Linked DNA regions of Oryzias latipes. The protein of the gene in region 1 interacts with the protein of each later gene in a pairwise test. Links are inferred from orthologs where the notes say so. Each region holds a gene or a part of one and is shown on either strand. Other genes may lie near its edges.

Evidence for each region. The genes of interacting proteins can lie anywhere in the genome.
Region 2: the proteins of exoc7 (region 1) and ift20 interact in binary tests that used the Homo sapiens proteins (3 or more experiments, as listed by UniProt). The two-hybrid records come from large-scale screens. The link is inferred for Oryzias latipes from reciprocal best matches to the Homo sapiens genes EXOC7 and IFT20.
Region 3: the proteins of exoc7 (region 1) and prpf19 interact in a two-hybrid assay, tested with the Homo sapiens proteins (2 studies listed by BioGRID and IntAct, with this or other methods). The link is inferred for Oryzias latipes from reciprocal best matches to the Homo sapiens genes EXOC7 and PRPF19.

Annotation. Positions count from the first base shown.
Region 1 is NC_019877.2:22,395,459-22,400,183, reverse strand, and holds part of exoc7 (exocyst complex component 7), read left to right. Parts: intron 1-1,957; coding exon 1,958-2,053; intron 2,054-2,133; coding exon 2,134-2,197; intron 2,198-3,163; coding exon 3,164-3,205; intron 3,206-3,274; coding exon 3,275-3,408; intron 3,409-4,352; coding exon 4,353-4,455; 3' UTR 4,456-4,725. UniProt on the Homo sapiens protein: Component of the exocyst complex involved in the docking of exocytic vesicles with fusion sites on the plasma membrane.
Region 2 is NC_019871.2:17,866,579-17,871,991, reverse strand, and holds ift20 (intraflagellar transport protein 20 homolog), read right to left. Parts: upstream 3,465-5,413; 5' UTR 3,332-3,464; intron 2,395-3,331; exon of another isoform or gene 2,281-2,394; intron 1,368-2,280; 5' UTR 1,360-1,367; coding exon 1,233-1,359; intron 1,165-1,232; coding exon 1,079-1,164; intron 645-1,078; coding exon 541-644; intron 461-540; coding exon 379-460; 3' UTR 53-378; downstream 1-52. UniProt on the Homo sapiens protein: Part of intraflagellar transport (IFT) particles involved in ciliary process assembly. May play a role in the trafficking of ciliary membrane proteins from the Golgi complex to the cilium.
Region 3 is NC_019868.2:15,897,902-15,903,265, forward strand, and holds the start of prpf19 (pre-mRNA-processing factor 19), read right to left. Parts: upstream 3,465-5,364; 5' UTR 3,301-3,464; coding exon 3,282-3,300; intron 3,065-3,281; coding exon 2,915-3,064; intron 2,009-2,914; coding exon 1,932-2,008; intron 1,668-1,931; coding exon 1,526-1,667; intron 1,410-1,525; coding exon 1,336-1,409; intron 1,234-1,335; coding exon 1,168-1,233; intron 1,066-1,167; coding exon 1,024-1,065; intron 934-1,023; coding exon 859-933; intron 771-858; coding exon 695-770; intron 1-694. Other genes in the region: uncharacterized protein LOC101174031, read right to left, coding at 4,162-4,377, 4,486-4,584, 4,665-4,766. UniProt on the Homo sapiens protein: Ubiquitin-protein ligase which is a core component of several complexes mainly involved pre-mRNA splicing and DNA repair. Required for pre-mRNA splicing as component of the spliceosome.

The sequences.
Region 1 (4,725 bases):
TGTGGGGGATGTGACTAACGGTTCCTGATAATTCAGTTTTACGGTGGCCGACACGGCTCACACTACATGCAGAAGGAACAACACAACAGCATGAAACGGAACACAACAGAAGTAGAATACTACAGAAATGAGGAAAAAAATAATTCAGTTTCAACACCTCCACGCTTCTTGAATGGTGCGTGATATTTGTACTAGATGACGCAATTTCCTATTAGATAACGTGATTTCTTACAAGCTAGCTTGATTTCTTATGAGATGACGTGATTTCTTGCTAGATAACAGGATTTCTTATTAGATAACTTAATTCTTACCAGATAACGTGATTTCTTACTAGATAATGTAATTTTTTACCAAATAACGTAATTTCTTACTAGATAACGTGATTATTACTAGATAGTGTAATTTCTCGTTAGATAACGTAATTTCTTATTAGATAGCATGATTTCTTACTAGAAAGCGTGATTTCTGATTAGATAACGTAATTTCTTACGAGATAACGTAATTTCTTACGAGATAACGTGATTTCTTACCAATTAGCGGGATTTCTTACTAGATAACGTAATTTCTTACAAAATAACGTAATTTCTTATTAGATAACCTGATTTCTTACAAGCTAGCGTGATTTCTTATGAGATGACGTGATTTCTTACTAGATAACGGGATTTCTTATTAGATAACTTAATTCTTACCAGATAACGTGATTTCTTACTACATAATGTAATTTTTTACAAAATGACGTAATTTCTTACTAGATTACGTGATTATTACTAGATAGTGTAATTTTTCGTTAGATAACGTGATTTCTTATTAGATAACGTGATTTCTTATTAGATAACGTAATTTCTTATTAGATAGCATGATTTCTTACTAGAAAGCGTGATTTCTTATTAGATAACGTAATTTCTTACGAGATAACGTGATTTCTTACTATAAAATGAAATTTCTTACAAAATAACGTAATTTCTTATTAGATAACATGATTTCTTACCAATTAGCGTGATTTCTTTCTAGATAATGTAATTTCTTACAAAATAACGTAATTTCTTATTAGATAACATGATTTCTTACCAATTAGCGTGATTTCTTTCTAGATAATGTAATTTCTTACAAAATAACGTAATTTCTTATTAGATAACTTGTTTTCTTACTAGATAACGTGATTATTACTAGATAACGTAATTTTTCAATTAGATAACGTAAATTAATACGAGATAAAGTTGTTTCTTATGAGATAAAGTGATTTCTTACTAGATAATGTGATTTCTTATTAGATAACTTAATTTCTCACTAGAAAACGTGATTTCTTACTAGATAGCGTGATTTCTTACCAAATTACGTATTTCCTTACCATATAATGTAATTTCTTACCAAATAACGTAATTTCTTATTAGATAACGTGTTTTCTTACTAGATAACGTGATTATTACTAGATAACGTAGTTTCTCAATTAGATAACGTAATTTCTCATTAGATAACGTAAATTATTACGAGATAAAGTTGTTTCTTATGAGATAGTGATTTCTTACTAGATAACGTAATTTCTTACGAGATAACGTAATTTTTGACGAGATAACGTAAATTCTTACTAGTGTTAGATGAAAAGTGTTAGATTTATATGTTACTATGTGGAAAGCTGGCTAAATTTACATTTTCTTTTTTTTTTTTTTTAAATAGCTTGAAACACGATTATTTTCTTTTTTACCACTTCCGTTCTGGGAAAATGGAGTTCAGTGCACAACCAAACACTGTCCTGGAGCTGAAGAAACCTGTTTCTCACAAAGTCAGACCCTCAGGCTGGGGACACTGCAGCTGACTAGGAGAGCTGAAAATCTGCTGCTGTGGGTCCGCTGGGATCTGTAAAAACAGCCACAGCCCCTGCAGTAGCTGGAAGCTGGTGGTTCTGTGCTTCAGCTGGAAGGCTGGGTTTGATTATTCCTCATCTGTCACCAAACTGCAGGTCTGAGTTGATCCAGCTGGTCACCGTGACTCAGAAGAGAGCCGAGGCCTCCTACAAAGAGCTGATACAACAGCAGATCGAGTTCTACCAGCGCAGGTAAACTCAAAACTCAGCTGTTGTCAAGATTTCAGTGTCCTGCCTTCTGCTGACTTAACCAACACGTCTGTCTGCCACAGCTGGCTGAAGGTCACAGAGCACCTGACGGACCGCAACATGCCCGTCCTCCAGCCCGGCATGAAGGTCAGAAACCGCTAGCGACGGCAGCACTGGGGCAGTTAGCTTCAGGTCGTTGTAAAGGGTTAGCGCTTCTCTTTTGTGGGGGTGGGAAGTCACAAAGCAACAGCACTGGATGGCTTTATCTGGTCTCTAGTCCCAGTGTGGAGTCATGAACTCCCACATAAATCCTTTTTAATCCCCCTAAAATCTGGAAAGTCCCGTCTCAGCGGGACAGAAATCAGCTCTCAAATGACTTCAAGATTAGACTTCTGTGATACTTCATTATCAGGCTGGAGGGGATGCAAAGTCCTGCAGCGGAGTTCTGGTGGGGGAGATCATTTACATTCATTATTAGCTTCTCCTCTTAAAGTAAATCAGCGTCTAGGGTTTTACTGCCATGGAACGTTTTTTTGGTCACAGTTCCATGTTTTTCAAAGTTCTTTTGGTTCTTTCTCTGAACTGTTATAGTCTGCAGATCTTTTACCAGTTAAAGAAGCATCTCTGCCTTCAGGTTTATGCTCTAAATAAGGAGTTTTAACAAACATTGTTTTTTAATGTTTTTCTTGGATTTCGGCAGTGATTTGGGACAGCTGCATCGTACCTCAACAACATTCCAAAAATGGGACAAAGTAACTTAAGGATTTAGTCAACTCCACCCATGGGTGTCCCTAATTCCCAACTAAAACTGAAGAAACTACCTTCAAGGTTTTCATAAATTGAAAGCAAAGCAATAAACTGTCACCATGAGGCTCGGTTAGCACGTTAGCACGTCAGGACTGGATTTGCTTCCGTTGAACTGGGCTAATTAAGTATAGCAGGCCCTGCTGAAAACCTGTTTTTAGGTCTTTTTATACAAGCAGTTGCTTTGGTACACTCTCAAACGTTTAATTTGAAACCAGTCCAGACCCGATGCTGGTATACAATCGTGGTTTCATGTGAACAGCCATCATGTACACTCTGTAACCCTTTAAACGCTTTCTCCTCCTTCAGCTGAAAGATAAAGAGCGGCAAGTGATTAAAGAGAAGTTCAAGGTAAGGAGTTTAAAGTATGGCAGAGCAAAAACAGCTCTGAGCTGCAGCTCTGACCAGAGAGTCTCTTAGGGCTTCAACGATGGTTTGGAGGAGCTGTGTAAGATCCAGAAGGGTTGGGCCATCCCAGACAAAGATCAGCGAGACTTCATCCGGCAAGCTCAGAAGACAGCGGTGTCGGATGCTTACAGAGTCTTCCTGCAGAGGTGAGGGACACATCCCAGCAGCAGTCTCATCTGTGGCGGTGTTGCACTACGTACACACTGGTGCGTTCCGCGTCCCCTTGAACGCACCACACAAGCCGGGTGCCTTGTGTTCTACAAGGCCCTGAAAGCGTTTTTAGCAGACGGTGTTCACACCGGTCTGTTGCTACCCGATACGAACGCATGAACGTACAGCCGGAAGAGGTTGTGTCTGAATGCGAAAAACCAGTTCGCATCTATGCTCACTAGATCTGCGAATATAGACCACAATGCATTGCAACATAAAAATTTTTGCCAAAAAATGTATTTAAATGTATTTTTTTGATAAACCATCAACGTTTTTATCTTCAGAAGACAGTGGACTCATAAATAATCGTCCCAAAACGCTCATTTTAATTAGATTTTAACTTTGTGAAATCGATGATTTCATATTCGCCGTGAAAAAGAATAAAAGTCGTGAGCGTGGCGTCTGAATTGCTTTTAAAATCCAGGACAATAGATAGTGCCACTATCTAGTTTTTTAGTATTTATGGGTCAGGGTGGGAACTTTGGTGTCATAGTTGATTCATTTCTCCTTCATGGTCAATTTTCAAACGGTTCTCACTTCTGTGTTTTGACAAGGACGACATCCATACGTCGCTCCCAGACAGAGTCCCTGATTGGTCAACTAGTTCACCTTTGAGCGCACGTTCAACGGACGCGCATTAGGTACAGAAAGCCTGAAAACAGGCGTAAAAACTCGAAAGAATTTTGAATGTAGAAGCCGAAATGTGGACTTTCTATCGGACGCGGTCCCTTGAAAGGGCGTTTCCGAGCCGGGTGGGAACGTAGCGCAACACTGTTTTTCTGCTCCATCATATTTGATTTAAATCTGTCAAGGAAAGAAGTTGGATAAGCCTAAAATAGTGTGTGTGAGCCACAGCCGCTATCTATCAACTGTTTTCCAGATGTACCAACATTTCCTTCACCAAGAACCCTGAGAAGTACCACAAGTACCGGCCAGAAGAGGTGGAGGAGATGATCGAGAAGCTTTTTGACACGTCTGCCTGAAGCAGGAAGTCCTGAGGCTCAAAACTGCGTGCGTCACACAAAGACCATGTGTTCACAAGCTGAGAAATAAACTAGAATTTTTCTGCAGACACATCAGAACTTTTATGAAAACAAACTCTCAAACAGGCAAACCTTTTACATTTTTCTCCAATAATAGGATCAGCAGCTTCATGGTTTCTGCTTTGGGATCCGTTCGTTTCTGGAACATCTGCATGGAAATGAATGCATTGTTGCATACATGCCTGTAGTCAAAAAAAGAAGCTCTGGCAG
Region 2 (5,413 bases), on another chromosome or scaffold:
TATAGTGTTTGAATTGTTTATATATTCATCGTGTCTCTGAAGGAAACAGATCTCATTTGAACATGAAAACTTTATTGTACATCTCAGTTACTCAGCGCCCGCTCCACCCTCCCATGCACAGATGTAAACAGCACCTGCTGAGTCCGACCCAGGTTTGAGTTTCAGTTCATGTCCATGTCAGGATCTTGTGTAGCGGGAAACAAACCAGCCGCCTTGATGAGTGTGTGCTCTCTGAGCAAGGGGGTGGAGGGGTCACAGTGTGACAACACATGTGGGACAAACAGGAAGGTGTCCTGGAGCCTCCCACCACCACCACCCCGACCCCACAGCAGGGTGGCTTAAGCTGTAGGCAGCAGCCTCAGACAGGTGAGTCCCGCCTCACTTTTGCAGGATGAATTGGTTGATGAACTCGCTCTGCTCCGCCTCTACCCGGGAAAGGGCTTCGTACTCCACCCGGTACCTTAAAGAAAGTAGCAGCTGTTAGCAGGGAGCATGGACGCCACTCCTGCAGGATTTAGAGGGGTGGGGGGGGTGGGGTACCTCTCCAGCTGCATCTTCTTCTCAGCAATAAGACCCTTTAGCAGCTGCTGATGCTCCTCCCTCTGCTTCGCCACAGATGTCAGAAGGTTCCTGGCTCCAATGGCCTGCAGGAAGTGATATCAGCCAATGAGGAGCAGTTTTTGTTTGATCGGGTTACTGAATGTTTGACATAAACTAAAAACAGTAAATCAAACGCAGCTCCAGCAGCTTTTCCACCACAACATGTCTGTCAGGAGGAAACTGGGCAGCTTACCAGAAGGTGTTGGAGTTCCTCCAATGTAAATAATGTTAAATAAAAGTTTGGGTCTATTTTACTCATTCCAATTGAATTGTTAAAACTGGTCCAAAAAATCTACAAAAAACAGTTTTTCTTTAATGTGAAGTAAATAGTTTTTTCCTGCTAAAATTGGTTACTTTTATTATAGAATAATTCAACTGGTTAAATCTATTACTTATAGGATTAAGTACTGGGTAACTATAACTGCCAACACTGATGAACTGTAGGTTTTGACCTAACCTGAGAAGAGGGGAGCCTCACCTTCATCTTTTCAGTCTCCGCCTCCTTGGCCAACCCGTCCACTGTGCTGATGAGACCGCCCACAATCTTCTGGAATTGTCCGATCTCTGCAGAGACACAGACCTATAGGAGCTTTGGGTGGGACGGGGTGGACAACAGATCCGTGGATTCTTACTGTCCACAAACTCTCTGCACTCCTCCTTCAGCTCCGCCGTGCTCTGGCTCACATCTGGCTCTAGAACCCGCAGCTTGTTTACCTCGTCAAAGTGGAAGCCAGCTTCAGCCAACGGATCTTTAGCCATGGAGTCTCCTGTGGGTCAAATATTGTGTTATTTCCAAAACTCCTCAAACACTCAGCACCAGTTTAACCACCTGACAGACGCAGGAGTTTGATCCACAATGATAAACACTCTTTATAAAGTCTAAAAAGAAAAAAAACATCTTTTAAAATGAAAAAATTATTATAAAGAGTTGTTTCACATATGGATGAATGTATGTAGGCTAGATTTGACTTTATCCTTTTGGATGTAACGGACACTGAAGGACTTGGGACTGATGCTTACCGTTTCTTCCATTCACCATAATACTTTACTGACCGTACCAGAGTTACCAAACATGCTGATACAGTCCAGTGATGTCTAGCGTCAGCCACAAGTCCAGTTATGGACTGTTAACAACCAGCAGGAGTTTAGAAAGATACAATTACTGCCTTACAGGACAAAGATTGAGAAGTAATTTGAAAGCTTTGCATTTTGGCTTGTCTATTTCTTTAACACAACAGATAAATTCCGCAACTGCATTACTTTAGTCCAGTCCAGTAGGACAAAATAATATAATTTACCATAGTATTATGTACTTGGAAGCTTATGAACAGACCTTCAGTCAGTGTTAAAAGTTTTCAGAAACAAATGGAGGAATGAAGATGTCTGTCCAACATTCCGAAACCGCATAAACAGATGTTTATTTAAATTCAAAACTCTAAAATTGCGCTTAAAAGCTTTTACAAAAATAACGTTTTAGCAAATAAAAATAACACACAAATTACACCCATTCCAATTTGCTTCCACACGCCTCTTCACCTCTGAGCTATGTATTTAAAGTCCTCCACCTTCTTCTCCTCTGCTCCCTGTAACCTCACCGTTCCTCTTTAGTTCCTCTCATTTACACATTCAGTCTTTCTGGAGCTAACCTTCATTCCTCTCCTTTCCTGAACAAACCTTTACCTCTCTAAAGTGTTCCTCCTTCTGCTCCCTGCGCTCACTACAGATCCACAGGTCATCTGCAGACATCACGCTCCACAGAGATTCCTGTCAGTCCTTCTGTCAGTCTGTCTAGCACTACAGCAAACAAAAAGGATTAAAGCTGATCCTTGGTGCAGTCCAACCTCCATCCCCCCTGAACAGATGAGTTCAGGATGGATTAATCTGATTAATAATAATAATAACAATAATAATGAAGTGTTTGTGGCAGTTTGCGTAATTGTGTGGCTCTGTTATACCCTCTCTACATCCAAAAAGCGTCAGAAACAAAATATACATTGTTTAGTTTTTGAGCTGGGCTAGACTTTTAAACATTAAAATTAGTGAAATGCTGCCTCCAGCGGTCTTTCATAGCACTGCAGTGTTGGGTACTTCCTGGTTTCGGGGGGGGGGGGGGGGGGTAGTGTTACTGTACAAATTGTTTTCATCTTTATTGTGAATCTTAGTCCATTTAGCACCAATTCAATGAATGAAGATTATTTATTTTAATTTCTACATTTACACCTAAACAACCCCCCTTCATGTTTTTAACCACGTTAAATGATTATCGCGCCGTTCAAAGCTGTAATCCATGCCACAAGAATTGTTTTGGTGACTAATCTGCACACATTGTTTGTGTATTTTAGATAATAAAGTTTTCTTTAAAAAAAAATCTATGGGTGACGTCACAAGCATCGATTTTCTACACTACAGTAAGAAAATACGTCAAAAATAAATGAATAAATAAGCAACAAACTCAGACTAGATCTGAGTAAACAAGAACGTTGAGTTTTTCTGTCCCGGCGACCTCAAAAAATGCCTCTAAACTTGGAGCTCCACAGTCTCAGACTTTGGCAGAAGTGTTTGTACACGTTGTATGAACCTCTCAACCATCTTTTTTTCCCCTCTTCGATTTTTTGCGGCTAACAGCTAACGAGCTAATACGTAGGAGATGACAAATTAACAGCTGTTAGCCTCCGTTAACCATTCGTAAAGAATAGTAAACTAAACTTTGGTTGTGGAAACGGACACTCACCTTAATAAACCCCTGACGTTACTCTGCACGGCTCCGGTCCTCCTCATAAGGGGTCCTACTAAGACGTTCCGCCTCTTCCTCCTCCTGCTACCAAGGCAACCGCACAAAGCGCCACTACGCGTGCGCACTAGCTTACCGCCGACCTCTGGTGGTACACATTCTCGAGAAGTCTTTTTCACGTGTTTCTGATATTATCGTTCATTTAAAAACAAGAATCAATTTACAGTCAGTTTTAAAGCCACCATGTGCGCGTGCAATCATCAGGTTCATCCTCATAGTTAAACCAGGTTAGGCTAAACACCCCAGTAGGTAGACCCACCCAGCGGTAGAAGTTTAGACAAGTCTGGTTCCTTTCGCAAGTTCAAACGTCATGACTGGATGAAGAGATAAGCTCAAAGAACCAACTAGTTCTTTATGAATTGAGATGATAAGACATTTTTTAAAAGACATTTTCGTTCACTCATAAGAACACTTTAAAATGTACAGACATGGATGATGTGGCTTCACTGAAACTTCAAGTGGAAATGAGCAGCAGCTATCTAGACCAGCTGGAGGCGCCAGAGGGGAGCCCATCTGCCTGAGATACATTGTTACAGTGATCCAACGGGGATGTAATGAAAGCATGGAATACTGTTTTATGTTTTTTTTTGGAAAAAATGCACAACTGACATCTCTCTTTTCCCCTTCTTGACCAATTGCAAATTTGTCACATGCAAGATATGACACAAAATCAATACAAGTGTAACATACAAAGAGGATGCACACATGCTTTCATCAGTAGTACATACCTTAAAATCGTAGATTTTTATCAAGGTGTTTATGGGCTGTGTTAAATTTAAAACTAATACAAACACTAAAGAAAAAATATATCCCATTCAGAGTATGTTTTCCTGCATAAAAAACTTTCTTAAGCAGGAAAAAACTAGAAAATCAGATCAACAACTATCAGTATCATTTAAACGCTTTATTAAAGAACACTGTCCCAAAAGTCCCCTTTTTGCAGCATTACTCAGATATTACACCTTTCCGTCAAAACCTTTCATCCTGTATCTGTTCATCCCCTAGTTCTTCTCTGAGACTTCCACTGCAGGAGATAGAAAAAAAAATTATGCATTTGTTAATTAGGCCTTTCATGGAAAACATGGAGGAGTTTTATGGCTGGGGGGGGGGGGGGGGAATCGGAGAACTACTGAGTGCTGCTGGAGTTGTTAATAGCTACAAACATGCTCAGCTGAGGCGGATTGTGAAGCTGGCTCAGGTTCATGTCAATGTAGTTGGAGGCTTCTCAGATAGATCAGGAAGCTTTCATCCTGATATGTCTTGTAGCTGCTGCTCACTGTTAGATTTTTTGTTTTTATTGTTATTACTGCTCTGCACTGGATTATCTCATGGTGTGGATTGGTGGACGATTTACCTGGTTTGTTCTTACCTGGACTTTATTGGCACTGTTGCCTAAAAGCTGAAGTACCCAGCCTCTAAACTCCTCCAGGTACATAATCACCCACATGGACTTCCACTACCTTCACTAAACCTCCACCCAGATATAGCTCTCCGTCTCTGTATAGGAGGGATGGCTCAGTTGCCTGCATGCAGCACTGGCACCTGGGAAACCAGGGGGGGGGGGGGGGGGGGGGGGGGGGGGGGGGGGCGAAGAGCTTCATCCAGTCCTTGGATCCTTGGGAAAAACTCTTGGATGAGTGCTAGACCCTCTTTGCTACTTCCTATCTATGTATAGGCTTGTATCAATAAGGGCATCCGGTGTAAAAATCTCTGCCTAACCGCTTCCTTTGGAGATGCATTACTATGAGAAGTACAAAGGCCTGCTGGTCCCGGTACCTCTGTTTTCCACATTTGAACTATGAATGTATAAATATACCTTCACACCACCCTCAGCAACGTACCTTCAAGCACTTTCAATGAAAAGTCCAGACGCGTCTGTAGACTTGTTTACATATATGTACTGCATATGGAATGTGCATTTCAGGCTTCCTTGGTCAAAACTCTCGCGTTCACACGTAGCTACGCACATTTTAAGACCATTTTTGGGCTCTACGTACAAAACATGTGGCCATTGGACTTGCG
Region 3 (5,364 bases), on another chromosome or scaffold:
GCATGTGCTTCTGGAGCTCTGTCCACGGGCCAGTGGCCGCTGTTCGCTCAATCATGGTTAAGCCTGCCGCGCTTTTCAAATGTCCTACCTTCTCCAACACGGTTTACAGCAGAACATAGAGGGCAATAGTCACTGCTTTTTGTTTTCACAACAGAACGCCTTATGTGTTCCAAATTATGTATTACTACAAAAATAATATTAATACACACAACAAGGCTTTCTCCTTACAAAGATGTGCATACTCTTACTCTGTAGCTTTTGAATTTTTAGTACATAAACAGTATTTTAGACAAAATACTGCACTGGTTCTCAGCTCAAAATACTGTAGGTAATTCTTTTGGAGCTTGTCGTCTCAAAAGTAGCTTGCCTGCCAAAAAGAAAATGTGGGCACCCCCATAAAAAAAAAAAAAAAAAAGAATACCAGTACTTTGTAGATCTCACATATTGTGGGTTATTTTTTAAAATGCAACTCCTGTTATAAACAAAGCACTGATGCTCCACTTGCACCTTTCAGCTTTTGAATTCAAGTCTCTCCTGGGTGCTGTGCTGAAAAAAGGCTTCAGTCAGGGAGAAGCAGCAGCACAAGAGTGAAACTCACAACGCTGCACCTTAAACAGCCAGTTTTCATAAAGTCAAAACAAAAGCACACAAAATCACCTAAAACTAAATCAACATTAAAATAATGACACTTTACCTGTGAGCACTTTGTTGGTGTCAGAGGGACACACATCCAGAGCCAGAATACCAGGCACACTGGCACTATGCAGACCCTACAGGAAATATCAAAGTCACACCACAAATATGAAGCAATCCAAACAAAAAGTTACATCCTCTGGATTCTCCAGAATCTCTTCTTACAGCGTGGGAAGCAACTTGGCGGTACTTGCTGAGATCTTCAGCTCTGACCAAATCCTCTGGAACAGTTTTTCCTCTCTGTAGATAAAAAAAAAACACAGGGTGAACTGGGCGCTACCAAGACAGATAAAGACTCCACAAACTGTTAGGTTGTAGTCAATACTGCACCTTCTTTCTCTCTGTGGTGAGGATGGTCGCCTTGTCTTGAAGCTGCAAACACACAACAACAGTCAAATAGACCAAAGGAACAAAATCTTTCTACAAACAAACTTTACAAAGTAGAATGGTTTTTAAAACTAAAGAAAGCCGTACCTTCTGAATGATCTCTGGGGTCATTCCCACCTGTTCACTGATCTCCATGGGTTCTCCACCAGCACCCTGAAACACAATATTGACAGTTATTAGACAGATGAGTTATGAAAGTCAATACAAAGCCTTTTTTTTAAAGGAAAATAATTCAATAAATAAATCAAATTTTACTGCAGCAGCTGGCTGAGAGGCAGGGACTGCTTGAGGGGCCACCAGTCCAGCTTGGGGTTTAAGTGTAGCAAGAGCTGGAAAAAAAGACAAACAAATGAGCCAATTAGACAACCCCAATTATGAATAAACAAAACACACTCTTCATTCAAAATCACTTTGTAAGATAGCATTTGACGCAAACTTCACTGACCTTCTCTTGCAGCAGTGACCTCTTTGTTGAGGCGGGCGATGACTCTGCAGGCGGCATCGTGCTGGTAAAGGGCATGAGAGAGTTCTTGGCGAGTCGTCTGCAGCTGCTGCCTCAAGGTGAAACTATGAAGCATCACAGCATCCTAATTCACAAAAGAAAATGGGTCAGGTTACTTTTACCAGAGAATCTCTCAAAATCCACTTCGGGTCGTTTTGAAAAGCGGATTCCAGAAGGAACCCATCACATCAAACGCAGATCATGACGTTTTGTTTGACCAAAACACATTCTTCATTAAATAATGACAATTCCACTGACAAGATATGATCCCATTCTGCCACAATTGTAAAAATGAACTGTTATTCATATTTTAATGACTAAAAACATTGTATACGTTGATGCTACTTACCCACTCGTCTTGAAGTGACTTGAGAATGGCAGGAATGCTAGTAGCAGATGGAGCCTTTGGTCGAATAGGATGAGTAACTACAAAGAAATTAAAGCAGACATTTTCTAAAGCCGTATAGAATCACTGTATCCACATTAGGTTTTCTTATCATGCAAAATCAACTTTTTGAGCTTTAAGTGAATCATAATGTTAAGCCCTCAAGAAAAACGACCCCAAAGCCATATTTTGATCCATTGACGAAGCTCTGAGCATTCCTCTAAACCCAGACCCCCCAAACCACCTTTTATATGCACAATACATCCATCTTTACAAGTTTGGATTTTGTTTGTTTTTGTGGGCGAAACGCAGACACACTGGCGAGGCCAGCTCTAAGTTAACAAAATGAAATGGGCGGCAACCACAAGGAAGGAGCGAAAGCCAGTGCCTCAGAGATCGAAAGTCTTACCTCCAGGTAGGAAAAGGAGCTGAAATAACTAATATTTCATAAATAATTTGTTCTTTAGTGTTCCAAAGGTAATATATGTCATTTATATGGATATAGTTTACTCTGAAATGCTTAAGAAAAGCATGATTATAGGCCCACTAATTAAGTGTTGCAAATATACTACAACAATATTTTTAGGTTAGGCGTGTGTGTCAGTGTATTAGTTTTTGTTTTTTTACTATAGATATTTAATAAATATGTTATTATGACCTTCTCTATTTTTTAAAAACAACAAAAAAGTACTTTTCCCCCCCACACCATTTGTTACTGCTGTTTTTTGATCAACTTTCTGGCATTTTTTTTTAAATACTTTGTGAAAAATTGTTTTTCCAATAGTTTTGGTTTCATAAATTCGTTGTTTCTTTGCTTAATTTTCTTATATATTTATTTAAATTTTGTAAATTGACGTGCTTTAGAGATGCAATATGTTATGAATGATATTTGCTTTTTAAGACGAAGGTCTTGAACCTGCGCCATTATAGGCTGATGTGTCGTTTACCTTTGATATCCACAAGCTGCTCCTCGGACAGGGGCTGTCCGTTCATCGGGTCCGTCCCATTCTCAGCGATGTACTTCTCTATCAGTCTGCGCTCGAACACATGGTTGGACACCGGAGAGATGCACGGGTGCTCTGGAACCTCGTTGCAGACTGAAATAAAGGTGTGGCAACCGCTTGAAAGACTATTCTAAATCAGTAAATTCTTTTTTAAAAAGTAAATAAAAGCAACAAACATAAAATGAACGGAAGCAATTCCATATAAAAGGCGGCATTGATGGCCGCTAACTGCTACATTAGCTAGTTACTAGTAGCATTTGCGTGGCGCCTCGCTAAACACACACATTTCAAAGGTTTTCACTTAGCTTACTTGCACAAACCAGAGACATGTTCCCAACGCTGTGTAAATAGTCTCCTCTGGAAAGTAATATATGCTTACTCCAACCTTGTGTTTCGCTAGTGTGCACCGATAATGACTGAATTGAAACTAAGAAAAGCTATGCCCTTTCATAGCCTCAATAAAATGAGCCAGCTTCTTCTTCTTCGTGAAATGTCTGCTAAACGCAATTCGAACGTTGTCTCCACACTGCCCCCTAGTGCTTAAAATGAACAATGCGTTGGATTACTGTGTCTAGCAGGAAACTAGTAATCTGAAACTAAAAATTGGATTACGTGTGTTTAGATAAAACGGATTTATTGTTTACCACGTGTTTATTTTAAATTTTTGTTATAGAAATATTTTATGTTTTGTTCATGAAGTTCAAAGGTTAGCAGACCAAATGGAAAAGCACATTTCACAGCACTTTACAGTTGCATTGAGTTGAAAGGAATGACACCTGCAACAAATACTACACTGTTACAGATAAGATCATAACTAATTCAATAATTGTTGTTTGGGTTATAAATGTATTAACACTGTGGAAGAATGTTTAAGTGAGTATGAAATATATATATTTAGTGTCAATACTCTATGCAGCTCTAGAAATAATACAACACTTGCAAACAGGGTGACACTCAGTAAACACAGTGCAGATAACAGTGGCCCTGAGGGTCTGGAGGTAGGTAACAGCAAGAGATCTTAAGAGTACAATCCACCACTGCAACATGAGACAGAAAATGCAATGCTAAATTCATGCATCCAAAGATTATGTTTACCAAAATATTTTGAACTGTAACTTGCATTGAGTAATGTCCTTCACTGTTATTTGTTCATTCTATAATGTCCTTCTTTTCTCATTTTGGCACCTGTTTTATAAAAAGTCCAGTTTCTCTGACGTGTAAACGCTGCAGGATTCAGAGGTGTCTGTGTCCAGTGGCAATGTTGAAAAGAACTCTGAGCTCCACCTTTTTTCATCTCCATCCTTCTTAATCTGGTACTGAGCGCAGTCCTCAGAGGAGTGGAGGCAGTCTGTTGCTCCAGGCACAGGAAAGGAAATCTTCTCTTCATTCTCATTCACTTTGTTCTCCTAGAGGGAATTCAGGGGGTGGGGGGTGGGGGGGGGGGGCACATGGGTAGTTTTTATTTCTTTTGATTTTATGTCAACATGAGCCAAAAAAGGCTGACAGAGTTTTACCTCAGTGCTTCTGTCATGCCTGGGCGAGACCCCAGCTGTCCGTTGCTGTACTTGCTGGTTTTCAGAACTTGGTTCCCCTATCGTGACAGGAGTGTAATCCTAGAAATGAAACCCACATGTTCAAACACTCAGTTCTATTCAGCTGTTTAGGCTTCTGTGATTCCGTTCATTGGTCTTACAGTGTGAGCAGGGCTCGCTCTTGGGCTCCACTTTCTTGGTGTTCCAGGATGCTCAGGGTAACTGTAATAAGCTGCAGGGTGTGGATGGGTGTGACTGTAGTCCTGCAGTGACAAACAATAATTCAGCACAAAGTTACACTAGATAGGACTCTTAAAATTTTTCCTTCCCATACATACAGGTGCAAAACTTTGCATTTCAAAGGTTGGAGACACAACAGACACATATTTTAACCTCCACCACTACTGGTAAAGGTTGCACAACTATTTCGGAGCTTCTAAATGTTTAAAATTAACACTTTATTTATCCCACCATGGGGAAGTTTTTCTCTGCATTTTGACCCATCCCATGGGGGGAGCGGTGAGCTGCAGACTAGCCACGCTCGGGGGGCAACAGCTGGGATTGATCCACCAACCCTGCGGTTAATGGACGACCTGCTCTACTGCCTGAGCTAAACTGCCGCCCAAAAGTCTTGATAATTAAATTCTTGATACATGTTCCATGTCATCTTATTCAGCTGGAAAATAATTATAATACAGGTTGGAGAATGTTTCAATCAAATTGAACGTTTAGGACATCTCGTCATTGTTGAATTTTAAATGGAGGAAAGAAACAAAAGAAGCAAGTTAATTTGTTTTGAAAAATCAACATTTGTGTGTGCGTGGGGGGGGGGGGTGCATTTCAAAATGATAAAAAGATCCA